Linked DNA regions of Canis lupus familiaris. Each later gene encodes a partner of the first gene's protein in a complex. Links are inferred from orthologs where the notes say so. Each region holds a gene or a part of one and is shown on either strand. Other genes may lie near its edges.

What was found.
Region 2: the proteins of GABARAP (region 1) and STX17 are in contact, whole or in part, in a crystal structure (PDB 7BV4), measured with the Homo sapiens proteins. The link is inferred for Canis lupus familiaris from reciprocal best matches to the Homo sapiens genes GABARAP and STX17. Residues at the interface, in NP_009209.1 of Homo sapiens: Tyr5, His9, Lys13, Glu17, Lys20, Ile21, Arg28, Pro30, Lys46, Lys47, Lys48, Tyr49, Leu50, Pro52, Leu55, Gln59, Phe60, Phe62, Leu63, Lys66, Arg67, Phe104; in NP_060389.2 of Homo sapiens: Ala169, Glu170, Ser171, Trp172, Glu173, Thr174, Leu175, Glu176, Asp178, Leu179, Glu181, Leu182.
Region 3: the proteins of GABARAP (region 1) and KBTBD6 are in contact, whole or in part, in a crystal structure (PDB 4XC2), measured with the Homo sapiens proteins. The link is inferred for Canis lupus familiaris from reciprocal best matches to the Homo sapiens genes GABARAP and KBTBD6. Residues at the interface, in NP_009209.1 of Homo sapiens: Tyr5, Glu8, His9, Glu17, Ile21, Tyr25, Arg28, Pro30, Val31, Ile32, Leu44, Asp45, Lys46, Lys47, Lys48, Tyr49, Leu50, Val51, Pro52, Leu55, Leu63, Arg67, Phe104; in NP_690867.3 of Homo sapiens: Ser663, Asp664, Asp665, Asp666, Phe667, Trp668, Val669, Arg670, Val671, Ala672, Pro673.
Region 4: the proteins of GABARAP (region 1) and WDFY3 are in contact, whole or in part, in a crystal structure (PDB 3WIM), measured with the Homo sapiens proteins. The link is inferred for Canis lupus familiaris from reciprocal best matches to the Homo sapiens genes GABARAP and WDFY3. Residues at the interface, in NP_009209.1 of Homo sapiens: Glu17, Ile21, Lys24, Tyr25, Arg28, Pro30, Lys46, Lys48, Tyr49, Leu50, Val51, Pro52, Asp54, Leu55, Leu63, Lys66, Arg67, Phe104; in NP_055806.2 of Homo sapiens: Glu3342, Lys3343, Asp3344, Gly3345, Phe3346, Ile3347, Phe3348, Val3349, Asn3350, Tyr3351, Ser3352.
Region 5: the proteins of GABARAP (region 1) and CALR are in contact, whole or in part, in a crystal structure (PDB 3DOW), measured with the Homo sapiens proteins. The link is inferred for Canis lupus familiaris from reciprocal best matches to the Homo sapiens genes GABARAP and CALR. Residues at the interface, in NP_009209.1 of Homo sapiens: Glu17, Ile21, Tyr25, Arg28, Pro30, Val31, Ile32, Lys48, Tyr49, Leu50, Val51, Pro52, Leu55, Phe60, Leu63, Ile64, Arg67, Phe104; in NP_004334.1 of Homo sapiens: Asp199, Trp200, Asp201, Phe202, Leu203, Pro204, Pro205.
Region 6: the proteins of GABARAP (region 1) and TP53INP2 are in contact, whole or in part, in a crystal structure (PDB 8T31), measured with the Homo sapiens proteins. The link is inferred for Canis lupus familiaris from reciprocal best matches to the Homo sapiens genes GABARAP and TP53INP2. Residues at the interface, in NP_009209.1 of Homo sapiens: Tyr5, Glu17, Ile21, Tyr25, Arg28, Pro30, Val31, Ile32, Lys46, Lys48, Tyr49, Leu50, Val51, Pro52, Asp54, Leu55, Gln59, Leu63, Arg67, Phe104; in NP_001316358.1 of Homo sapiens: Glu31, Val32, Asp33, Gly34, Trp35, Leu36, Ile37, Ile38, Asp39, Leu40, Pro41.

Annotation. Positions count from the first base shown.
Region 1 is NC_049226.1:32,414,291-32,418,085, reverse strand, and holds GABARAP (gamma-aminobutyric acid receptor-associated protein), read left to right. Parts: upstream 1-1,197; 5' UTR 1,198-1,316; coding exon 1,317-1,406; intron 1,407-1,965; coding exon 1,966-2,044; intron 2,045-2,188; coding exon 2,189-2,307; intron 2,308-2,805; coding exon 2,806-2,871; 3' UTR 2,872-3,295; downstream 3,296-3,795. UniProt on the Homo sapiens protein: Ubiquitin-like modifier that plays a role in intracellular transport of GABA(A) receptors and its interaction with the cytoskeleton.
Region 2 is NC_049232.1:57,222,230-57,226,167, forward strand, and holds the start of STX17 (syntaxin-17), read left to right. Parts: upstream 1-1,138; 5' UTR 1,139-1,204; intron 1,205-3,938. UniProt on the Homo sapiens protein: SNAREs, soluble N-ethylmaleimide-sensitive factor-attachment protein receptors, are essential proteins for fusion of cellular membranes.
Region 3 is NC_049243.1:9,450,968-9,454,945, forward strand, and holds the start of KBTBD6 (kelch repeat and BTB domain-containing protein 6), read left to right. Parts: upstream 1-1,178; 5' UTR 1,179-1,563; coding exon 1,564-3,705; 3' UTR 3,706-3,978. UniProt on the Homo sapiens protein: As part of the CUL3(KBTBD6/7) E3 ubiquitin ligase complex functions as a substrate adapter for the RAC1 guanine exchange factor (GEF) TIAM1, mediating its 'Lys-48' ubiquitination and proteasomal degradation.
Region 4 is NC_049253.1:31,496,260-31,499,759, forward strand, and holds part of WDFY3 (WD repeat and FYVE domain-containing protein 3), read left to right. Parts: intron 1-674; coding exon 675-835; intron 836-1,947; coding exon 1,948-2,177; intron 2,178-3,292; coding exon 3,293-3,402; intron 3,403-3,500. UniProt on the Homo sapiens protein: Required for selective macroautophagy (aggrephagy). Acts as an adapter protein by linking specific proteins destined for degradation to the core autophagic machinery members, such as the ATG5-ATG12-ATG16L E3-like ligase, SQSTM1 and LC3.
Region 5 is NC_049241.1:49,649,563-49,653,745, reverse strand, and holds the start of CALR (calreticulin), read left to right. Parts: upstream 1-1,383; 5' UTR 1,384-1,465; coding exon 1,466-1,556; intron 1,557-1,920; coding exon 1,921-2,022; intron 2,023-2,201; coding exon 2,202-2,405; intron 2,406-2,828; coding exon 2,829-2,923; intron 2,924-3,013; coding exon 3,014-3,223; intron 3,224-3,302; coding exon 3,303-3,416; intron 3,417-3,505; coding exon 3,506-3,649; intron 3,650-4,183. UniProt on the Homo sapiens protein: Calcium-binding chaperone that promotes folding, oligomeric assembly and quality control in the endoplasmic reticulum (ER) via the calreticulin/calnexin cycle.
Region 6 is NC_049245.1:24,279,633-24,283,649, forward strand, and holds the start of TP53INP2 (tumor protein p53-inducible nuclear protein 2), read left to right. Parts: upstream 1-1,217; 5' UTR 1,218-1,407; intron 1,408-4,017. Other genes in the region: PIGU (phosphatidylinositol glycan anchor biosynthesis class U protein), read right to left, coding at 980-1,109. UniProt on the Homo sapiens protein: Dual regulator of transcription and autophagy. Positively regulates autophagy and is required for autophagosome formation and processing.

The DNA.
Region 1 (3,795 bases):
ACTCCAAGGGCTGGGCTGTGGGTGGGGAACTGGGATTTTGGGCCACTGGATTTTCCCCAAACTTGTCCCCCTGCCCCCAACCTTTCCCTCTACATTCCCTTCTTCCTATACTCTCAGACCTGTAACCGGCGCGCTCTCTTTTTCTTTCCTCTCTTTTAAACCATGCATTATAACTTTGAAACCAAAGCTGCCCTAGGTCCTTCTCTCAGGGTTGGGAAATGAGGGGAGGAGTCTTTGTTCACATCCACCCTGGCTCCCCAAAGCGGAGGCCGAGGCCCGAGGGTCAGGGAGCAGCGGTGCTGGCTCCGGAGGAAGGAGCAGGGAACGAGTCGACCTTTGGTGGGAAGGGTCTCGGCCGCAGGATGAGTGCCCTGGGTGGGGTCGGAGGGACAGCCGTGGGTCCCGGCGAACCAGAGCTGCAGGGCAGGAGGAAGCCGCGGTCCGTGAGCAGGCGCACCGACGTGGACGCAGAGAGTGCCCCGGCCCTCGGCCCCGCCCCCTCCCCTCCCGCCGGCGCCCCTCCCCCCGCGGCCGGCTCTACTTCCCGCGGCCGCCACGTGACGCTCCGCCCTTCTCTGAGATCACATGACTTTTCGTTGCTGCCAGTGCCGAAGGTGTTCCTCCGCGCTGACGTAGTCCCTACCTTTCGGACCTCCTCTCCGGTCCCCATTGGTCCACTCCTCCTGGGAACCTAGGCGTTCTGTGCGTTTCTGCGAATACCTGTTTCGTGTCTGCCCTCCTTTCTTCCCGGAGATCCAGCTTCTCCGTTTGGGTACTACTTTGTTTTGGAGTCAGCAGCCGCCTTCGGCGTACCGACGCGTTTCGTGAATAGCTGTCCTTAAAATTCTCTGCTTCCCCCCCTCCCCCTTTTCACCTTGTATCCGAAAAGACTTTTCGGAGCACCAAGCCTCAGAATACAATCGGCAGTTCCTAGCCCTTGTGGTGCCCAGCTCGGTGGGGCACGGCGGAATGTGGGTTTTCGGTTATTTTCGACCATAGCCCAGACCAACCACCTTGGCTACGTCGGCTGCGTAGCCCTCAAGCTGATTCCAAAGCGATTACGCAGGCAGCGTGAGGGGGGCGGTCAGTAGGTGGTGCTACGCCGGCGGCGTGAGGGCCGTTACGCTAGTAGCGTAACCCAGCGGGCGGGGCGGCCCCGACGGCCGGGGGCGGGGTTGGTGAATAGGGAAGTGGCGCAAGTCCCGGGATCGCTCCGCTGAGTCCGCCCGCGCGTCGCCGCCGTCGCCGCCGCCCCCCGTCCCGGCCCCCCCCCGGGTTCCCTCAGCCCAGCCCGGTCCAGCCCGGTTCCCGGGAGGATGAAGTTCGTGTATAAAGAAGAGCATCCGTTCGAGAAACGCCGCTCTGAGGGCGAGAAGATCAGAAAGAAATACCCGGACCGGGTTCCGGTGAGAACCATAGCCGGGGCCGCGGACGCGGGGCGCTGGCTCTGACGCCACAGCCCGGCTTGGGGTCCGGCGAGGCAGCGAGGGCATCGGGCTGCTGGCGGGGGTGGCCGGGGACCGGGCCAGGGGCTATCGTGTCCGGGAGCGGAGGTTGGAAGGAGCGGGGCGGCGAGGGAGCTGGGGGTGGGGGGCCGCGGCTGGCCGAGGGAGACGTGTGGAGTGCTGGGGAGGCTGCAGGGAGTTTGACAGTCGGGGCTTCCCATGGCCACCTCCCAGCTGGCCGGCTCGTCGAGGCCGACGCTGTCGTCGGCTCGCACGAGCCATGCCTGCCTAAGATCCTCGTTTATTATGACGCCCAGCCGGGGGATTCAGGATATCGAGGTGAGCCTGACGCTGCGGGGTCAGGATGCCTCTGCTTGAGGCTGCACCGCGTGTTCCCAGACAAAGAAAAACGAGTTGGATGGCTTGGGGTGCTAGCAGTTTTGTTTCTGGAGTTCTCGACGGGGTGACTGTGGGGCTGTCCCCCCTCGATGCTTCCTAATTTCCGTCTTTCTTTTTATAGGTGATAGTAGAAAAGGCTCCCAAAGCTCGGATAGGAGACCTGGACAAAAAAAAGTATCTGGTGCCTTCTGATCTCACAGGTGGGAACCTGACCCAGGACCCAGGTTTGCTGCCTGTGCGTGGGGGTGCAGTGTCGGTGGGAAAATGCTGCCTCCCCGTAGTGACTGCTCTTCTGAGGCCTTTTTTGATCCCTGTGACTTTATCGTATCTTGTCTCTTTGGCAGTTGGTCAGTTCTACTTCTTGATCCGGAAGCGAATTCATCTCCGAGCTGAGGATGCCTTGTTTTTCTTTGTCAACAACGTCATTCCACCCACCAGTGCCACAATGGGTCAGCTATACCAGGTATGGTGACTGGGAAGGAGTCAGGGGCTCCGCAGAGGTGTTGGAAGAGATTTTCAGGTCAGCAGTTCTTGGACTAGCTGGCTGGCTCTCAGTTTTACGTGTGACCTCAAAATTTTGAGGGTAGTCCCAGGTTGAGGGCTTGGATAAAGGTATTGGGAATAGAGGTGAGAACTACAGCAGTGCTTTGGATCCACCCTCTTGTCCACTTTCCCCACCATCCCAAGGCAGCAGATTTTGTGATCATGGTATCTCCCCTGCCAGGTAAGTATAAGGCAGCAGATTTTGGAACAGTTTGAGATCTTTTTGCCCAGGACTGCTGCCAGCGGTAATCTTGTTGGCTGCTAAGGCCTGGAGCAAATGAGTGAGTATGAGTCAGGGCACTAGCGTTTGGGGGTCTTCAGAAAGAACGGGCTTTCCAAAAAACGTGTCTGGGCAGTGGGTGGTTCACGTGCCCACAGCCCCGACGTCTGAGTGCCATAGTTTTCTGCCTCCATCCAGGAACACCACGAAGAAGACTTCTTTCTATACATCGCCTACAGTGATGAAAGCGTCTACGGTCTGTGAAGCTGCTGCCCCTGACGTGGGGGGGGGTCCGGTTCTACAAAGACAGAGGTGGCCCCCATCCTCGACCTACTCCTTCTTTGGGCTCATCCCTCACCTCCCTTTGTTGGGACCTGCACTTCCTAATGTTTGAGGCTCTCCTCCAGCCCTTCTCAGCAGGAGGGCTCATGGGGGAGGTGGCTTCTTGGACCTCTCCTTTCTCCCCTTCCTCTTCGACCTTTCCCACTCTGCTCTAGACTTCTTGATTGTCCGTCTCTGTCACATCCGGTGATTGTTTTGGTTTCTGTTCCCTAACTGCCCAAGGGGCTCAGAACCCCAACATTCCCTTCCTCTCATTACCTTCATTTTTGGGGGTAGAGGGAAGGGACTGAAATTGTTGGGGGGAAGGCAGGAGGCACATCAATAAAGAGGAAACCACCAAGCTGAACTGGATTTTACTTTGTGTTGCTTCCCGCCCCTTTTTTCCTAGTTGTCCTCTGGTGGGGAGAGTGGAGGTTGGAGGGGCAGTAATCCTACATTCTGGTTTATTCTGTTGATATTGGGTTACTGCTTGCGCAAAAGTATTTTTGTTGTGATCGAATACTCCCAAGTATCAGGTCATGAAACTATACTTTTATATACTTGTGTATTGGGTCCCAATGTAAAAAATACAGTGGCTTTTGTTTTTTTACTTTGGGTTCCTGGGGAGAAAGTAAGTATCCACTTTAGATAAATGCACCCAAGTTTGTTACAGCTTTTGGATGAAAGAAGAGATTTTCGTGCGTGGGAGCCAGTCAGAGGACTCTGTCCTGGGTTGCATCTCACTTGACCAGACTTGGTGCCAGTGGGTGGAATTCAAGGGAGCGAGAAGGGAGCCATTATCATCAGGAGAACTTCATCCCCCAGCAAGCATTTCTCCGCCTGGCCGGAAGTGGGGCGGTCCCCCGG
Region 2 (3,938 bases), on another chromosome or scaffold:
TGCCTATCAAGGCTTTCTCAGAGGCCCCTAATTTTGTCTATAATCTCCACCTCTTCTCCCACTCACTTGGGAAACCTTAAGACCTGAGTTTCCTGAGCTGTGGCCTGAACATCCTGATGACTGTCTGAGGATAATATTGTCAGGGGTCACATTCTAGACAGGTCATCTGAACATTCACAAACACTTAAGAAAGGCTGGGTCTGGAAGTTAGGTCATGGGACCCGGACAGAGCTTCAAAGCCAACCATCTGCTTGGTCATTGGTAGCAGCTGGTAACTGGAAGAGCTTGAGAGGGAAATTAGGAAACCCAGTGGAGTTCCCAGCTCTGTCACTAAGTAGCTGAACTGAGTGAGTCACTTAAAACTCTTTGTTTAACCTCAGCGTCATGATCTATAAAATTGGGATAAGGACAGTAGCATGGTCTCCCCCGGCTTTGATGGGAAGGAAAATCACAACTCATCCGAGCTTCAATTTCTGCACCTGTTACCAGTTGTTAAGATTTGCGTCCTGTCCATCTCACGAGGTTTGGGGGGGGGGGGGGGGTGCGGTGGTGAATGAGAGAAGGCACAACCTTTCGGAGTTTCAGTTTCTGCATGTGTAAAAAGCTCAGAATGCACGGCCAGCCTGCCCATAAAATTCCTGTTTAAACAGGAAAACAGGGCAGCCCGGGTGGCTCAGTGGTTTACCACCGCCTTCAGCCCAGGGCCTGATCCTGGAGACCCGGGATCGAGTCCCACGTCGGGCTCCCTGCATGGAGCCTGCTTCTCCCTCTGCCTGTGTCTCTGCCTCCTTTTGTCTCTGTGTCTCTCATGAATAAATAAATAAAATCTTAAAAAATAAAAAAAAGTAAACAGGAAAACAGACAGCAAACTTTGCAAAAATGTAGAAAGCTATGCGTGTGTGAATTACGTCCTACTGAAAAGACAACAAGCAGACCTAAGAGGTGATTGTAGGTCTCTTTCCTCCTGGCTCCAGGGCTGCAACCCCGCAAACAGACGCCAAGCCCACTTTCTTCAATCCTCCCCGCGGCCGGCAGCCGTCACGGCGTCGGCGGCCCCACCCGGCAGGGCTCCTGCGGGCCGGGAGGGGGCGTGGCCCGGGACCGCCCCGCCCCTCGCGACGCCCCGCCCCCTGGCGACGCCCCGCCCCGCCGCGCCCGCGCTTGCGCCGTGCACAGCCAGCGGCCTCGAGCGCCCCGGCGGGAGGTAAGGGGTTTGCGGGAGGCCGCCTCGGGGGCGTCAGGCCCGGACGGGCTTTGAGGGCCGGGCGCTGAGCCCGCGCGCCGCAGAGGCGCCCCCTGGGGAAGCCCGGCCTCAGGTCCCGCGTGCCCGCGCTTGGGAGGCTCCTCCCGGCTCCCCGAAGCGCCGGTTTCGTTTCTGGAAGCTCTTTGCGAAGCCGGTGTGGGGAGGCGGCCTCCCGGGGTCGCGGGGTGCGAAAGTTCCCTGCAGCTGCCGTGCCCGCGGCGCAGGCTGGGCCCGGGGCCGTCGGGGTCGCCCGGGTCGCCCGGGGGCGTGGTCCCAGGCCGCCCGCGCATCCGTTCTCTGGTTGGGGCGGCGGGGGTGGGGGGGGGCGCCGTGGGGCTCGGGGGCCCGCGAGGGGCGGAGGACCCGGACCCGGAGCCGGAGCCGGTGCTTCTGGAAGCTCCCGCAGCTGCGCCCTCGATAAGCCCGGCCTGGGAGGGCTCAGGCGGGAGACCCAGGGAGCAGCAGGGGCCGTGACCTTGCCTTCCAGAGTCCCCGGGTCAGGAGCTCGGGGAGGCCTGCCTGGGGCCCGTGTGGATCCCTGCCCTGGGAGGCGGCCGCTCGTCGCTCTGGGGGACGCCGAAGGTCGCTGGCACTTGGGGACTTTTTCTGAGAAATGGGGCTTTTTAACTTATACAGTAAATAGTCTAAATCATGTAGTAACCCCCCCCCCCCCCCCAGTACTTTTTTCTCACGGGAAACAGGAGTAGTCATGGTACCCAGGTGATGATAGTAGTCGTAAGCCCCGAAAAGGGTCAGGGTCGTTTGTAGAGCACCTGCCCCGCAGGCCCCCGCCAGTGTTAGTCTAAGTGACCCGTTTCCGGTGAAACATCAGACCTTCCTAGAGAGTCTTTTTATTCTTGAAATGATTTTCCAGTTACAGAGAGGTGGCAAAAGTAACAAAGGTCTCTGCAGCCCCCTTTAATGTTAACACCTTATATAACCATAAGTACAGTCATAAAAAATTATAAAGTATCATTGGTACGTTTTTTTGTTTTAAGATTTTATTTATTCATGAGAGACACACAGACATAGGCAGAGGGAAATAGCAAGGCTCCCGCCGGATTTGATCCCAGGACACCAGGACCACAACCTGAGTCAAAGGCAGACTCTGAGCCACCCAGGCGCCCCTCGTTGGTACAATTCTAGTGACCAAATTGCTACCTTTTTCTCGGATTTCCTGACTTTTTTATACTAATGTCCTTTTTTCCCCCCTATTTCAGGATCCAGTATAACATCCCACATTGCATTTAATTGGCATGGCTCTTTAGTCTTAAGTCTTTCCTAACCTTAACGCTTTTGAAGAATCCTGGTTAATTATTTAGCAGAGTGTCCCTCAGTTATGTTTTGTCTGGTATTTTCTTTTTCTTTTAAGATTTTATTTACTTATTCATGAGACATACAGGGAGAGAGAGAGAGACAGGCAGAGGGAGAAGCAGGCTCCATGCAGGGAGCCCAACGTGGGACTCGATTCCGGGTCTCCAGGATCAGGCCCTGGGCTGAAGGCGGCGCTAAACCACTGAGCCCCCCGGGCTGCCCCTTGTCTGGTATTTTCTTACAATTAAAGTTAGGCATTTTTAAAGTTATGCATTTTTGTTGATACCACAGAAGTGGATGTACCCTTCTCAGTCCATCCCACGAAGGGTTCATGTTATGACACACTGCTTTTGGTATTACTGTTGATCACTTGGTTGAGGTGTCTGCCAGGATTCTCTAATGTAAATTAACTGCTTTCCCCTTGAAATGAATGGATATCTTGAGTTTCTAAACTATGCAAATATGTTGTTCTCCTCAAACTTTCAGTTGCTGATTTTACCATCCATTGGTGGATCTTGCCTTCAGCAATGATTACTATTATGTTCTAATGGTGATTTTTTGTTTCCCCTCATTCCTTCTTTTATTTTTTTATTTAAGATTTTATTTATTTATTAACGAGAGACACAGAAAGAGAGAAGCAGAGACACAGGCAGAGGGAGAAGCAGGCCCCAGGCAGGGAGCCTGATGTGGGACTCGATCCCAGATCCCGGGATCACACCCTGAGCCAAAGGCAGGCACTCAACCGCTGAGCCACCCAGGCGTCCCCATTCCTTCTTTTATTAATTGGAGTTCTGTAAGGAAGGCTTGCCCCTTTCCATTTGTTTAGTCAGTTATTTTTTTATATAAGTATGAACTCATTTATTTTACTTTTTGGTTATTTTTGTTATTTATTTATGTCTCAGGTTGTTCCAGCCTTGGCCCTTGGGAGTTTTTTCAGGTTGCTTCCTTTTGACAGGCTTCCATCTCTCTTTGAGAACTTCCTTACTTTCTAGCACCATAAGATGTTCCACGTTTATCTTGCGTTTTCTCTGCCCCAGTCCTGGATCACCCACTTCTCCAAGGATCCGTGATTTCCTTTTTTGGAGAGTGGTATTTAAACACCAAGATCAGGGCACTTGGTGTGCTCATTGCTACTAGAATATTATTGTTTGTGGTTCTTTGCAGAAAACAGCTAGGACTATATGTAAATATATATTTTATTTTTATAAGTATTTTTCCTTTATATATAAATAAAATATATCATTCTATTTATTACTTATGTAATTATGAAAAATTAAGTATTATATTTTATTTATATCGTTTGTTATGTTTATTTGTAAATATATGTTTCTTAGCTATATACATATATATCCACATATTTCATGGATACACAAAGATTTGT
Region 3 (3,978 bases), on another chromosome or scaffold:
AATAGGCTACACATTGTCCAGTTTCAACTATACGACATCCTGGGGAAAAAGTTAAAACGAGACAGCAAGGAAAATCAGTGGTTTCTGGGCGGGCGCGGGTGGGTGGGAGGGCAGGGAGAAGGAAGCATACAGGGATGGAACACAGGGAATTTTTATGGCCGTGGGGGCTGTTCTGTAGGTCACTGTAATGGTGGGCCCGTGACCTTACACCTTCTGCAGGACCCTCGCAACTGCACCCAGGAGCGGAACCCAATCTCAACAGCCCGCTGTAACCCACGATGACCCGGTGGCACGCACCCCCGGAGGCGAGGTGTCGGCCAGAGGGGGGACCGTCAGGGGGTGCGGGGGGTGGCGGCTCCCCGTGAAACCCAGCTCGATCTTGGGGCACCGGAAACTGCTCTTAAAAACCAACTCAAAAAAAAAAAAAACCCAAAAAACAAACCCAACTCAATCGCTAAAAAAGAAAAGAAACAACAACAACAAACAAAAACACCCCCGACTTTAAATCCAGAAGACACAACGGTGGTTGCCAGGGAAGAAGGGGGGGGGATGGGCGAAAGGCGATGGAGAGGACCCTTATCCTGATGAACACCGAGCAACCCACAGAATCACTGAAATCATACACCTAAAACTAATCTTTGGGGAAAGGAAGAAAAAAAGAATGTATTACAAAAAGGCGGGGGCGCGGAAGGGGCGGCATCTCTGAGGAAAACCTGCAGGGCTCTCGATTTTTTTCCCCCCCACGGGCTCCTACATCTCAAGAGGGAGCGCTCGATGATCTCCTAAACGAGCAAAGAGAAGCTAAAGGGCACCCGACCTCCACCTCACGGGCGCCGCGAGAGTCTTTATCAGCCTAACCCGCGACTGTGCAGTCCGAGCATCCTTATTTAACCTACGCAATTCACGTCGTCGTCGTCACACGGCGCTGGGACACACCGTCGTTATTCACATTAAAAAAAAAAAATAAAAAAAAAAAACCGTCCCGAGCGCGGAGCCCAACAAGGTGGCAGATACGAAAACCAGGAGGGCTAACCCGGATTCCAGGCTCAAAGTTCTAAAGCATAAAAGCGAACGGCCGAAAATTAGCGATTTCTAATTCCGTCGGCCGAAAACAATGAACGGCCGATAAATCTCGCGATGCCTATGGAAACTACCACTCCCAGCGTGCACAGCGGCTCCGGGCCATCCGCCTATCCCCTGGAGTCTGGAGGGGCCCCGGCATGCCTCGGGGCGCGAAAGGCAGCCTGGGAGCCGTAGTTCCGCTGGACGCCTACCGGTATTGCCAGCGCGGCAGTGGCGGCTCTCTCGGTTCCGTCCAGCCGGGTTCTGTAAGGCGAGCTGAGGCGGAGAAAAGGGCGCGGAACTGGAAGCGGGTGAGTCAGGCGCTGGCTACGTGATAAAGGGAGGCGGCACTGCGGCATACGGCTGGATTAGGTAAATGGACCCGTGCTGCAGTCTCTCCGGAGACGCCGCGATCTAGCGCCCGCGCGAAGAGGGCGAGGAGGAGCCCGCGCCCGGTCCGTGCACCCGTTCTCGCCCTCGTACCCCGCCGCCATCTCCACCATGCAGTCCCGGGAAGAGGCTCCGCGTTCTCGCCGCCTGGCCAGTCCCCGCGGCGGCAAGCGGCCCAAGAGGATCCACAAGCCCACGGTCTCGGCTTTCTTCACGGGCCCGGAGGAGCTGAAGGACGCGGCTCACTCCGCAGCCCTCCTGGCGCAGCTCAAGTCCTTCTACGACGCGCGGCTGCTGTGCGACGTGACCATCGAGGTGGTGACGCCCGGCAGCGGGCCCGGCACCGGCCGCCTCTTCCCCTGCAACCGGAACGTGCTGGCGGCCGCGTGTCCCTACTTCAAGAGCATGTTCACGGGCGGCATGTACGAGAGCCACCAGGCGAACGTGACCATGCACGACGTGGACGCCGAGTCCTTCGAGGTGCTGGTCGACTACTGCTACACGGGCCGCGTGTCGCTGAGCGAGGCCAACGTGGAGCGCCTCTACGCGGCCTCCGACATGCTGCAGCTCGAGTACGTGCGGGAGGCCTGCGCCTCCTTCCTGGCCCGCCGCCTCGACCTGGCCAACTGCACCGCCATCTTCAAGTTCGCCGACGCCTTCGGCCACCGCAAGCTGCGATCCCAGGCCCAGTCCTTCATAGCCCACAATTTCAAGCAGCTCAGCCAGATGGGTTCGATTCGGGAAGAGACTCTGGCGGATCTGACCCTCGCCCAGCTGCTGTCCATCCTGCGCCTGGATAGTCTGAACATAGAGCTGGAGCAGACCGTGTGTCATGTGGCCGTGCAGTGGCTGGAGGCGGCTCCCAAGGAGCGCGGACCCAGCGCTGCGGAAGTCTTCAAGTGTGTCCGCTGGACACACTTCACTGATGAAAATAAAGATTACCTGGAGGGGCTGCTGACCAACACCATTGTGAAAAAGTACTGTCTGGACCTTATCGAGGGGGCCCTGCAGATGCGCTATGGTGACAAGCTGTGCAAGGCTCTGGCGCCCAAGCCAGAGACCAGCAGTGGCAGCTGTGGCGGCGGCAGCAGCAGCAGCGGTGGCAGTGGCGGCGGCAGCGGCAGCGGCGGCAGCGGCGGCAGCGGTGGTAGTGGGGGCAGTGGGGTTGGCAGCGGCACCAGCAGCAGCAGCAGCAGCAGCTCCTCTGTTGTACCCATAGCTGAAAACCCACCCCAGAGGCTGGGCGTGTGTGCTAAGAAGATGGTGATCTTCTTTGGACATCCTAGAGATCCCTTTCTGTGCTGTGACCCATACACCGGCGATATTTACAAAGTGCCCTCGCCTCTGACCTGCCTTGCTCACACCAGGACTGTCACCACCTTAGCTGTCTGCGTCTCTCCAGACCACGACATCTACCTGGCCGCGCAGCCCAGGAAGGACCTCTGGGTGTACAAGCCAGCCCAGAATAGTTGGCAGCAGCTGGCCGACCGCCTGCTGTGCCGGGAGGGCATGGATGTGGCCTACCTCAATGGCTACATCTACATTTTGGGTGGGCGAGACCCCATTACCGGTGTTAAGTTAAAGGAGGTGGAGTGCTACAGTGTCCAGAGAAACCAGTGGGCACTGGTGGCTCCGCTACCCCATTCCTTTATATCCTTTGATCTAATGGTCATCCAGAACTATCTTTATGCCCTCAACAGTAAGCGCATGTTCTGCTATGATCCGAGCCACAATATGTGGCTCAAGTGTGTTTCCCTCAAGCGCAATGACTTTCAGGAAGCCTGTGTCTTCAATGATGAGATCTACTGTATCTGCGACATCCCCGTCATGAAGGTCTACAACCCAGTCAGGGGGGAATGGAGGCAGATTAACAATATTCCCCTGGTGTCGGAGACCAACAACTACCGGATAATCAATCACGGCCAAAAACTGTTGCTGATCACCTCTCGCACCCCACAGTGGAAGAAGAACCGGGTGACCGTGTATGAATATGACACTAGGGGAGACCAGTGGATCAACATAGGTACCACCTTAGGCCTCTTCCAGTTTGATTCCAACTTCTTTTGCCTCTCAGCTCGTGTTTATCCTTCCTGCCTTGAACCTGGCCACAGTTTCCTCACTGAGGAAGAAGACGTGCCGAGTGAATCTAGCACCGAATGGGATTTAGGTGGATTCAGTGAGCTGGACTCTGAGTCAGGAAGTTCAAGTTCTTTATCTGATGATGATTTGTGGGTTCAGGTAGCACCTCAGTGAAATGCACAGGATCAGCAGAGTTTGTTGTAGATAGGTTGAAACACTAAGGTGTTTTTACTGCTTTGGAAAGTGTCTTAAAGAGATGCCCTTTCTCTTTGCTGGGAAAAAAACAACAACAACACAGGTTGATTGATTTCAGGTTTGGTTTAGAAAGGGTATTGTTTGAAATACTAACATAATTTAATGTTAGGGAATTTATACACAAAGAAATCAACCTATTTAATAATTTACTGTTCTAAAAGTCCAGTATTGATTTGATTGTTGGGTATGTTT
Region 4 (3,500 bases), on another chromosome or scaffold:
AATCACAATCAGTGGGGCTCCAGAATATAGGAAGGGGGAGCTTACAGAGGGCATTTTGTTAGGAAGATTAGTGTTAAAGTGGTATGGACACAGCAAACACGCTGAAGGCACTGGAGTAGCTTTTTGAAGAGAAACAGTACTGAAGGTAATCGTGGAGGGAGGAAGAAGTGCCCCTTTGGCCCCACCGGCACTGATTGTAGTTTATTTTTCACAGTTGTTCTGAACTTCTCCTGCATATATTACTTCATTGTGCTCAAAGGTACATTCAGAACTAGAGTTTTGCTTGATGACTTGTTTTACCCTTTATTAGTTATACAGAATCTATTCACAGCAAATAACCTGACAGCTTTTTTTTTTTTTTTCTCAGAGATCCTCTGTCATTGCTAGTTTAAGTTGAGGAACTATTTGCTTATCACAGACATTCTCGAGGCAGTAGGAGACTTCATACTCTCAGTCTATAACTATTTTATCCTGCAGAAATGGTTTCTTCCAACTTTTGTCGTCATTTCTGGCCATGAACATCATTTTCTTAAAGTAGTACATAAGAGCTAGTAGTCTTATTTTTTAATGTAGTAGATGAACTCATTTTGCCTTAGTTTCATTTATTGGAGGTTCTGGTCTTCTGCTGGTTGATAACAGTTTCTTAGATTCTTTTTTTTCCTGCTCAAATTTAGGGGAAGATGCATCCCTGCCTATTACCAGTGGAGGAAGCTACCAGGTATTGGTGAACAATGTGTTTTATTTCACACAACGTGTGGTGGACAAACTTTGGCAAGGCATGTTCAACAAAGAATCTAAACTTCTTATAGATTTTATAATTCAACTAATTGCACAGGTAATCTATTGTCACTATTAGTTTTAGAGTACATATTTTCTTATTGAAAAACTTTTCCTAATGTGTCAAAATTATTGGAAATAAATGTAACTAATAAGATAATGTTAACATTTAATACAAACAAAGCTCAGCTTGTTGAAAGTGAGTAAAAACCATAGACTTCTAACCCTTCCCCTCCTTACCCATAGGGTGGTACCAGCGTGTCCCTGTAAAGTTGCCTAGTTCTCTTAAGCTCTGGGCTCTCACTGGCTTCCCCACTGGTATTGCTCTTTGCTACCCAAATACCTGGGTAACTTTCTTATGGTTTAAATATGGTTTTAAGTTAATACAATTTGATGACTTGGTTTTTTTGTTTGTTTTTACAGTATGCTACATTTGTATGTAAAGGTTTACAGAGCACAAAGAGTTGATATGAAAGGAATATTTTCTTCTTATAATTAAATCTTCACAGAGTTCATTGTAGTTCTTTGAAGGTGTCATTTTAGTGAGCGAGTGGGTGTGTGTGTGTGTGTGTGTGTGTGGTACTTTTGACTAGGAATGTTGGCCTGGTTTGCCACAAGTGATTAATCTTATTCAACACATAGCGTAGAAACTAGAAAATACTGTTACCACGTGTTATTAGCATATGGTGCATAGGTTCTTTCGTGTCATCTAAGAATTTTTTAAGAGATAAATTTGTGTTTAAGCCAAAGAAAAGTTTACAAGTGAGGAAATCAATCTAGAATGTCAAAGGTTTTTTTACTAACATTTTAGATTTGGTTGTTTGTTTGTTTTTCTCAGTAATTGTGAATAGAGATCATTCACCCTAACAAAACTTTTGTTGCAGGAGATTCTCCTTAGATTACACTTCCATATGTACTCAGGCAGGCTGCTCTGCCTACAGGAGTTTTAGCAGCTCTCCTCAATGGGGCATGTGGTTTTCATCTCATTAAATTATACTTATGTGTCTCTTGGGTTCTGAACCTCATAATAGCAAGAGCTTTTTGGTTTTTAACTTAGCACCTTGTATTGAGCATGGCACCTGGTATGTAATAAAGCTAATATTTATATGTGAATGATAAGCAGACCATTTGTTTCTATTTTACTAAATAAAGTATCTTTCTTACCTTTAGTCAAAAAGAAGATCACAGGGATTGTCACTTGATGCAGTTTATCACTGCCTCAATAGGACCATCTTGTACCAATTCTCACGGGCACACAAAACCGTTCCACAGCAAGTAGCTCTCCTAGATTCGCTCAGGGTACTGACTGTAAACAGGAACTTGATCCTGGGACCTGGGAACCATGACCAAGAATTCATTAGCTGTCTGGCTCACTGCCTTATTAATCTACATGTTGGAAGGTAACTTTTTCACATTCAGTTTGCCACCGTGAATTTGTCATTCCACCAAAACTCTGTCCTACTTTTTTGATAGTAACATTTTTTTCCTTTTAATCTCAGTTTTAAAACTTCATGGAAAATATAAACACAAGGGTAACATTTTTGCAATAAAAGAATGAGTATTTTTTCTGTAATTTTCCATGTCTTTAAATTGGTCATTAATCACCTTAAGTCATGTATGTAATTTTTTTTAAAAAGTTTACTTTTAAAATAAACAAAGTATACAATGTTGGAGGTTAAGAGGGATAAAAAGGAAAGAATAATGAATAAATGCAGTGGTATATGTTAAATGGGCGTAATTAGTATTTTTCCTTGATTCTTTGACAGATACTTATTTAATGTCTGGACATTGAATTAGGGACTGGGATAAAATGTGAGCCAGAAAGACCTCATGGCAGGGTCTTGGAACATGCAGTCTAGGAGGGAAAATAGACAACTAAGCCAGACCAGGCAAAGTGTGCTAAGTGCGCTAAGTGCTCTGCTGGAAGCATGGCTCTTTGGGTGCATGGAACAGGTGCTCCTACCTGGAAAGAGACACCTGCTGAGTTACAACTTGAATGTGTTTGACAAGGAGGTTAACTCTCCAAAAAGGATGGGAAAGTGATGTAGGAAGAAAGAGCCATCTATGTGATTGCCTTGGGGGAGGAAAGCATATGGCACTTTCGGGAAACTGCAAATTTGTCACTGCTCCTGGAGCAAAGGGTGATGGGAGAGAGACTGAGGGGAGGTGGTGCATAGGCATATGAGGAAAATGTTCTTAGGAACTTTGTAATTTTTAGGTAAAAATATTAATCATGATCAAAAAACACCTTAAATATTAAGATGCTCATCTTGATGCTGTTGTTTAGTTTAATTACATTTAGTCAAGTGGATTTGTGAGATCATTCCTTTAAAATGGCATTTTCATGATAAAGTAGTAGTTCTGTTTTGTGCACCTGCCAAATATCTGTCTGCCAATTATAGAACTTTGTGATAGAGCCAGCATTTACTTGTGTCTGGAGAGTTATACTTAGTCATTATGGTTTTCAGCTATAATCATTTCCTTCGTATAGTTTAAACTGACTGGAATTTTTCAGCAATGTGGATGGGTTTGGACTGGAAGCAGAAGCCCGCATGACTACATGGCACATTATGATCCCCTCTGACATTGAACCAGATGGTGGTTACAGCCAAGATATTAGTGAAGGTAGTTTGTTTTCTTCCTTTTTTATTCCCCATTCTCCCCATTTCCAATTTTTTTTTTAAGAGAGAATGAGTGTATGAGCAGAGAAAGGCAGATGGAGA
Region 5 (4,183 bases), on another chromosome or scaffold:
AGTGGCAGGCTTGGAGTGATCACCCCAGATTGGCTCCTCATGCAGGTTGAGTGATACTGGATACTGCCTGGGGCAGAACCCCAACTTCTCCAAGACTCCTCATTCTTCTCTTTTCTGAGTCTCCACCACTATCAGGGAAGCACGCCTTCCCTGCTTTTTTGCCAGGATTCCACCCCCTTCCCCAGTCCACTTCCAAGTTCCCAGGTCCAGGGCCTGTTTGCTTAGAGTTTGGGAAACCCCCAGAGCGCCTTCCTGCTTCCTGCAGCTTGGGGGGAGGGACATGGTGTCAGTCACGTGCCTCTGGCTTCTGAGCGTCTAGACTCAGGGGTCCTGCCCATCTCCCTCGGACCTTATCTTCCCCACCATCTGTCTCATTTTTTTCTTTTTTAACGGAACCCCCCTCCTCTCCTCTTTAGCCGTTTAATTGCAAAAGTCAGGCCGTTTGTGGGAGACCACAGGCAGCGACCCCTTTACCGGCTGAGGGAAGGTTTAAAGGAGAGGCTGCAATCAGACAAACAACGCTACCAAACTCTAGGAGCCACAGCCTATAGTCACATCTTTGTCTTCTAGGTTTCCTTTCTTCTGTCCCAGGACAACCCTAACAGTTTTGAAAGCGGCTCTGTAGAACGGCACCTAGCCAAGGATGCTCCTCCTAGCCTCTTCGGGGCTCCTGTGATTTCAGAGGCTAAGTGACTCGTCCCAGTCACTCAACAGCAGTCTGACAGGCTGTCAGGGCACTAGGGACCACTAGGGGCCAGAGAGGAGAGAGCTGGCACTGAACTCTCTGGCCTGCAAGGCTGTGGCTCTGGAGTGAAATGAAGATCCAGAGCCCCAGCCCCTGAATTCTGGTGCCTTCTGTCCCATCCTGGCCTGGGGCGGGGGAGGGCGAGATCGAGAGCGAGCGTGTGGGAATAGGGGCTCCCCAGCTGCAGAGTAGAAAGTGGTTAGGAAAACCTGGCCCACACCTCCTCGCAGAGGGGATAAAAGAGGGCGAGCTGGAGCGGGGTCCAGGTCCTGCGAGGTGACACGGGCACTGGCGCGCGTTCTTTAAACGCCCAGACCAGGAGCTAAGCGCGCGGGCAAGGGCGGGGTTGGGTCGAGGTCTGGTCACATGACCTGGGCAGAGGGGCTCGAGGCCCCCACCACACCGGTGGGCGGCCCCCACAACGCGTGGTCGACCTTCATTGGCCAGCTGTGTAGCCAATAGAAATCGGCCATCTGGGAACCCTGCGTTCCGAGGCACAGCCTAACATGCTCAGACGACAGCGGTCCAATGGAAAGTCAGGGTCGTGGCCGCAGACCAATGATAAGGTGCGGAGGGCGGGACAAGAGGCCGGGCCAGGTTGGTTTGAGGGGCGGTAGGGTATAAAAACGCGCGGCCGGCGGTAGCGTCCGTCCCTACTGCAGAGCCGCCGCCGGAGGAGAGGTTTAAAGGGCCCGCGCGCCGCCGCCCCCTCGCCCCGCCATGCTGCTACCCGTACCGCTGCTGCTCGGCCTCGTCGGCCTGGCCGCTGCCGAACCCGCCATCTACTTCAAGGAGCAGTTTCTGGACGGAGGTAAGGCCTGGTCCGGTCTCGAGGCCGCCCCGACGACGAGGGCGGCCCCTCAGCCTAGATCTGCGTTGTCCCCTGTAATTACTGCTTAGAGGACCAATACGGTGGCCTCCAGGGACCAGAGCCGCAGGCGATCCTTCCTTCCATGTCCCTGGGGAGCGTCGAGGGTACAGCGGACTCCCGCGGCGGGAGTTAGGGTTCGCCGGAGGAGCCCTTAAGTCATCGAAGATGTCAAACTAGAGGTTGGGGTGGGGTCAGTCAGGGGATATCTCCTTTCCAGTCTTCAGCAACTTGAGGCCATTGGCAGATAGCTATTCGTGGGGAGAGGTCAGTACGGCCGCACTGACCTGCCCCTTTGATCCCCTAGACGGGTGGACCGACCGCTGGATCGAATCCAAACACAAGTCAGATTTTGGTAAATTTGTTCTCAGTTCCGGCAAGTTCTACGGTGACCAGGAGAAGGATAAAGGTAAGAGCCTGGGACGGGTGGATGTTGGGATTCAGGAGGACTTCCTGGAGGAAGCCGTGCATGTCACACAGCGTGGGTATCCCCATGAGCAGGAGGAAGGGGCAGTCTTCTTTGACTCCAGTGCTTAGGGTCCTTGGAGCTTGGGGCTGAGCCATGACCTCACTATGGTCTCCTGCTAGGGCTGCAGACAAGCCAGGATGCCCGCTTTTACGCTTTGTCGGCCAGATTTGAGCCCTTCAGCAACAAAGGCCAGACACTGGTGGTGCAGTTCACCGTAAAACATGAGCAAAACATCGACTGTGGGGGCGGCTACGTGAAGCTATTTCCAGATGGTTTGGACCAGACGGACATGCACGGAGACTCTGAGTACAACATCATGTTTGGTGAGGGACCCCGCCCTGGCGCTGACCTTTGATTAGTTGGAAGGAGACCTAAATCTGGGTTCCTTAAGGGCCACCACAGGTAGTGTTGAGAACATGGGAAGATACTTGTGTAGTTAAGGCTTGTCTTTGCGAGGAAGGCTGAGGACATTGCATTGTTACTATTGGTCTGAAACTTGCAGTTCACGGGATTTTCTGTAGCTATTTCCAGTGAGGGCATTAAATTCCAGAGGTGATATTTTGTTCTTTCTGTTTTTCCTTTTTAAAAGGCTCCACTTTCAGCTCCTTAGAACCAGTCAGGGTATGATTCTTGTCCTGTAACCCTTTACAGATCTGCATTTAAGAACCAAGCCTTCTTTTGTAAAGGTTGGGAGCTTTACAGTGGTGGGCAGTTTCTTGCTCTAACTAAACCCACTTTTTACCTAGGCCCGGATATCTGTGGCCCCGGCACCAAGAAGGTTCATGTCATCTTCAACTACAAGGGCAAGAACGTCCTGATCAACAAGGACATTCGTTGCAAGGTGTGACTGGGGGTGGTGACAAGTGGCTGATAGGGAAGCCTCAGAGGCCAAGCCTGATGGGCGGGGCCATTCATCTCCCACCCTCTTCAGGATGATGAATTCACACACCTGTATACGCTGATTGTGCGGCCGGATAACACCTATGAGGTGAAGATTGACAACAGCCAGGTGGAGTCAGGCTCCTTGGAGGATGATTGGGACTTCCTGCCTCCCAAGAAGATAAAGGATCCTGATGCTTCAAAGCCTGAAGACTGGGACGAGCGGGCCAAGATTGATGACCCCACAGACTCCAAGCCTGAGGTTGGTGCTTGGGCAGAAGCTCCCCATGTGGAAGGTGTAGAGGACAGCTGGGTTGACTGACCTTTTTGTGTTCCCTCAGGACTGGGACAAGCCTGAGCACATTCCTGACCCTGATGCTAAAAAGCCAGAGGACTGGGATGAAGAGATGGATGGAGAGTGGGAACCACCTGTAATTCAGAACCCTGAGTACAAGGTGAGCTTGGAGCTCTGAGCAGGGTGGGAGCGCACAGTGGGGAGCACACTGACCTCCACTCAACCACTGGTTCCCTTCCCCTTCTGCAGGGCGAGTGGAAGCCCCGGCAGATTGACAACCCAGATTACAAGGGCACTTGGATCCACCCAGAGATCGACAACCCTGAGTACTCTCCTGATAGCAACATCTATGCCTATGAAAACTTTGCTGTTCTGGGCTTAGATCTCTGGCAGGTGAGACACAGAAGGGATTCATGGAGCACTTCAAATGTTGAGAGTCACTAAGGAGGAAAGGGATGATAAATGTTCAACCCCAGGCAGCTCTGAGCCAAAACTGGTGCTTTTCTTGAATAATATTCTGGTCTGTCTTTATGGAGTTCTCACGGCACCCAATTTGAGGTTCAGCTTACGTGCCAGATACCTTTCTAAGTTCCTTTATGCAAACAAACTTTTTAACTGCCTTCAACAGTTAGAAGTTGGTTAGATACCCCTGGCACTATTTTTCTAATGAGATTATCTGTCTGACTTACTTGGTAGAACATGCAACACTTGATCTCACAGGCATGAGTTCAAGCCCCACGTTGGGAGTAGAGCTTACTGGAAAAAAAAAAAAAGTAAATAATAAATGTGACTACTAGAAAAAAATGGTTCCTCTGAAATGAAATGTTTTAAAATTTTGTCAGTTTTATTCACTAGTAAACAATCTGTGTCTGGAATGGTGTCTGGCATGTAGTAGGTACCAGAAAAACATTTGAACAAGATATTGAG
Region 6 (4,017 bases), on another chromosome or scaffold:
TTTTTTAAGATTTTATTTATTTATTAGAGACAGAAAGAGAGAGAGGAGATAGACACAGGCAGAGGGAGAAGCAGGTCTCGATCCCAGGTCTCCAGGATCACGCCCTGGGCTGAAGGCGGTGCTAAACCGCTGAGCCACCCGGGCTGCCCAATGAGCGTCTGCCTTTGACTCAGGGTGTGATCCCGGAGTCGCAGGATCGAGTCCCACATCGGGCTCCCTGCACGGAGCCTGCTTCTCTCTCTGCCTGTGTCTCTGCCTCTCTCTCTGTTTCTCATGAATAAATAAATAAAATCTTAAAAAAAAAAAAAAAACTGGAAAGGGAGAGAACACTTTCTCGAAACTCCAAGGAAGGAACGGGATGTACACTGAACATTTTTCAAAAAGGATTATAACTACCTGTCTCTCCCACTAGCCTGTGGATCCTTCAGCACAAACTCTCATTGTAGGCGCTGGTAGAAAACAGTGCCTGATGAAGAACTTAAGAACAACCAGTAGGAAATGCTGCACGGCAAGCCCCAGACTGAGAACAGGCGTCTAAGCACACTCACACACTCTACTCGCTTAGGCAAAATTGGTCCCCTCTTTGGGGACTCCCCTCACTCACTGGACCATACCCCGGGGAGAACCACGTGCGATCCTTCATCATATCCCAATCCCTTCTGCAAATCCCACCCCACCCAGCACTCCCTTTTCTTACACCTCTTCTTCCTCAGACCACGCCCCTCTGCTCTGGACCCGAGTGAGACACACCCCCTCAACTCCCCACAGCTCAGGTGAGCCGGCCCCTAGGGCCCAAACCTAGCCCCACAGTCCCACGCCCCCTCCCTTTGGCAGCCCCGCCCTCTCGCCCTCTGAGGACGCCAGAGCCGGTCAGTTCCTTCAGAATCTTGAGCTTGAGGCCACTGCCCCCGCCTCCCATTCACTGAGGCCAGGAGAGCACAGGCGGGGCCTGGCCACCTACTCCAGCCAGTGGCCTCACCTCTCTTCCAAGAGCTCAGTGGGGACACCACCTCCACCCGTTCAGAAATGAACTCGGCCAGACTGGAGCGGAACAAGGCCGCCCGCACGGTCACGGCCACAACCACCACCAGAGCCAAGGGAGCCGCCATGATAGCTGGGGCGGGCGCGCAGGCGGGAGGGAAACGCGAGGCGGAAAAGCCAAGCGAGCGACCTGCGCGCCACCCTCTGTAGTTCCGCGGTCAAGCGCGCCTCGCTGCTGCCGCCGGAGCGCCCAGACTGGGGACTACCGCTCCCAGGATGCCTTGCGGCGAGACGGGGCGGGGCGACGTAGAGCCGGGCGTCTCAAGCTCGTAGCAAAGGATTGCGCGACGTCTCCTAAGACAGCAGGTGTATCGTAAAAGCCCTCTGTGCTGCCGAAAGTAGACACGGGAAGGTGTATCTTCCTAGGTTAGTGAGCAAGTATTGAAGAGTTGTTAGTTTCATTCTTGTGTGTATGTTTTCAAAGTTAGGATGTTTCCTTTTATGCTTTTAAAGAAAATTAAATATGTATTCATTTATGTATTCTACAACTGTTTGTTGAACAACGGCGCTATGCCAAGCATTTTATTGGGTTCTGAAGATACATTTTGGAGTATAGATTTATTTGCTCTGCAGCCTTGAACAAGTTAACCTTCCTGTGCCTCAGGTCCCTCATCTGGAAAATATGCCTGCCCATCCGTATGGGCTCGCTAGAAACGATTGAGGAATGCCTAAGAAATTTTGCAGGTCCCTTATAAGCCATTATCAAAAATTAAATTATATAAACTTACAGTTAAATAAGTTATATTAAAACAAGGTAATAAATACTCAAAACGCATTATTTCCTAATTATTTTACTACATTTTTGTTTTATCTGTGCTCTTGAGGTTATTTACTACTGCTATATTACTATGGCAAATACTGTATGATGGTTGCTGCTGCCCATCAGCTCCCAAATTGGCGCTCAGTGATGTCACGTTGGTAGCTTGAAATCTCTCTGGATGAGAGTGTTTACACTACAAGCACTACAAATCAATTTTGGACTTTGGAGAGCTCGTTGAAAAGCATTAAGTGGCACATCATTAATTAATGTATGAAAAGTACTTATGGTGAGTGCTTAACTGTTAGCTATAATAATATTAAATTAATATATAAGGAAAGTTCAGGTCTGTGAGTAATATGAAACAGGTTGTATGATCAAGAATAACTTGGTGGAAGTGTGTTGGTAACACTGGACAGGGTGGTCAGGGAAGGCTCTGGGAAGACATGACATTTGAGCTGAGACCCAAAAGATGAGAAACTAGTCAGAGCTGACATGTGAAGGAAACAGACTCTGATTCAGGAAACAGCAAGATGTGTTTGGGAAAGAAAACAAGTGTGTTCCAAGTGGAGAGAGTGGTAGTGACCAATCAGGGACCTGTTTGCCATGGTTGAGAATTTGGACTTTATTCATAGTGTAATCCATATGCCACTGGAGGATTTTAAACCAAAAAGTGATGTAGTCAAGTGTGCATTTTTAAAAGATCACTAAAAAATAAATAAATAAAAATAAAAATAAAAGATCACTATATCCTCCAGCCCTATACTGAGTGTTGGGGAATCTTGCAGTGACAAAATTGCACCCAATGCCTTTATGGAACTTGGAGATGTGATAGTCTTAAGAATAACACAAATAAAAGTAAAATCACAAATCATAATGAAAGGAAAAGGGGGAGCAAGATGCTAGGAGAATACAAAAATCAGCCTTGGAGCTGATCGATTTCTTGACCAATGGGAGGGGTGGGTTTTCAGTGGAAGAGGTAATCATGAAACAATAGAAAAGGCACCCTCATCCTTTGAGCCCTGTTCTGCCAAGCACTGTGCCATACTTTTAACACACATGAGCTTATTTAGTCTGATAACCTTCCTTTCTAACCATATAAGTGTTGCTATCCTCTTTCACATTAAAGGAGGAGATATATGTATTACATCATCATAAAGTGTATTATATCATGAAAAGTGCAGGTTATTATAACACAAACCCATAATGAAGATTGAACAAGATTATGTAATGTAAAATGGTTAGTACATACCAAGTGCTTGATACGCATTATTTAGCTGTTTCATTATTGTTTACATTATCCTAATAGATGACTTAAACATTCTTCGTAGGGTGAAAATTGTCTTTGGGAAGAACCATTATAGATAGACCCAATCTGTTGGTTCTTAAACATGAGTTTCCATGGATCATAGACCTAAATATTAGAGCTAAAACTATAAGACACCTACAAGAAACCTGGGAGTAATCTCCATGACCTTGAATTAGAAGGTTTTTTTTAGGTACAACACCAAAAGCACAGACAACAAAAGAAGAAATAAATAAATTGGGTCTCATCAAAATTAAATAATAGCAAGTATTGGTAAGGAAGTGGGGAAATTGGAACCCTCATGGTGGGCATGTAAAATGCTATAGCCACTTTGGAAAACAGTTTGGTAGTTACTCAAAATGTTAAACATAGAGTTGCCATACGACCCAACAATTCAACTCCTAGCTAAAATCCAAGAGAAATACAAGAGAAAAAAAGAGAATCCAAGAGAGAAACATATATCCACACAAAAACTTATACTTGACTGCCCATAGCTTGTTCATAGTTATTATTTATGATACCTAAAAAGTGGAAACAAAACAAATATCCATTTTGTTTGTTATGAATGGATAAACAAAATGTGGTCTATTAATGGACTATAATTGGGTAAAAAAAAAAGCATTGATACATGCTACAACATAGATGAACTTTAAAATATGCTAAATAAAATAAGCCAAACACAAAAGGCCACATATTATATAATTCCATTTATGTGAAATGTCCAGAATAGGCAAATCTATAGTGACAAAAAGCCAACTTAGTGGTTGTCTAACGCTGGGGTGGTTGAGGGGGTGGGAATAGGAAATGACTGCTAAGGAGTACAGGATTTCTTTTCAGGATGATGAAAATGTTCTAAAATCAGATTATACAATTCTGTAAACATACCACAACCACTGAGCTATATACTTTAAAT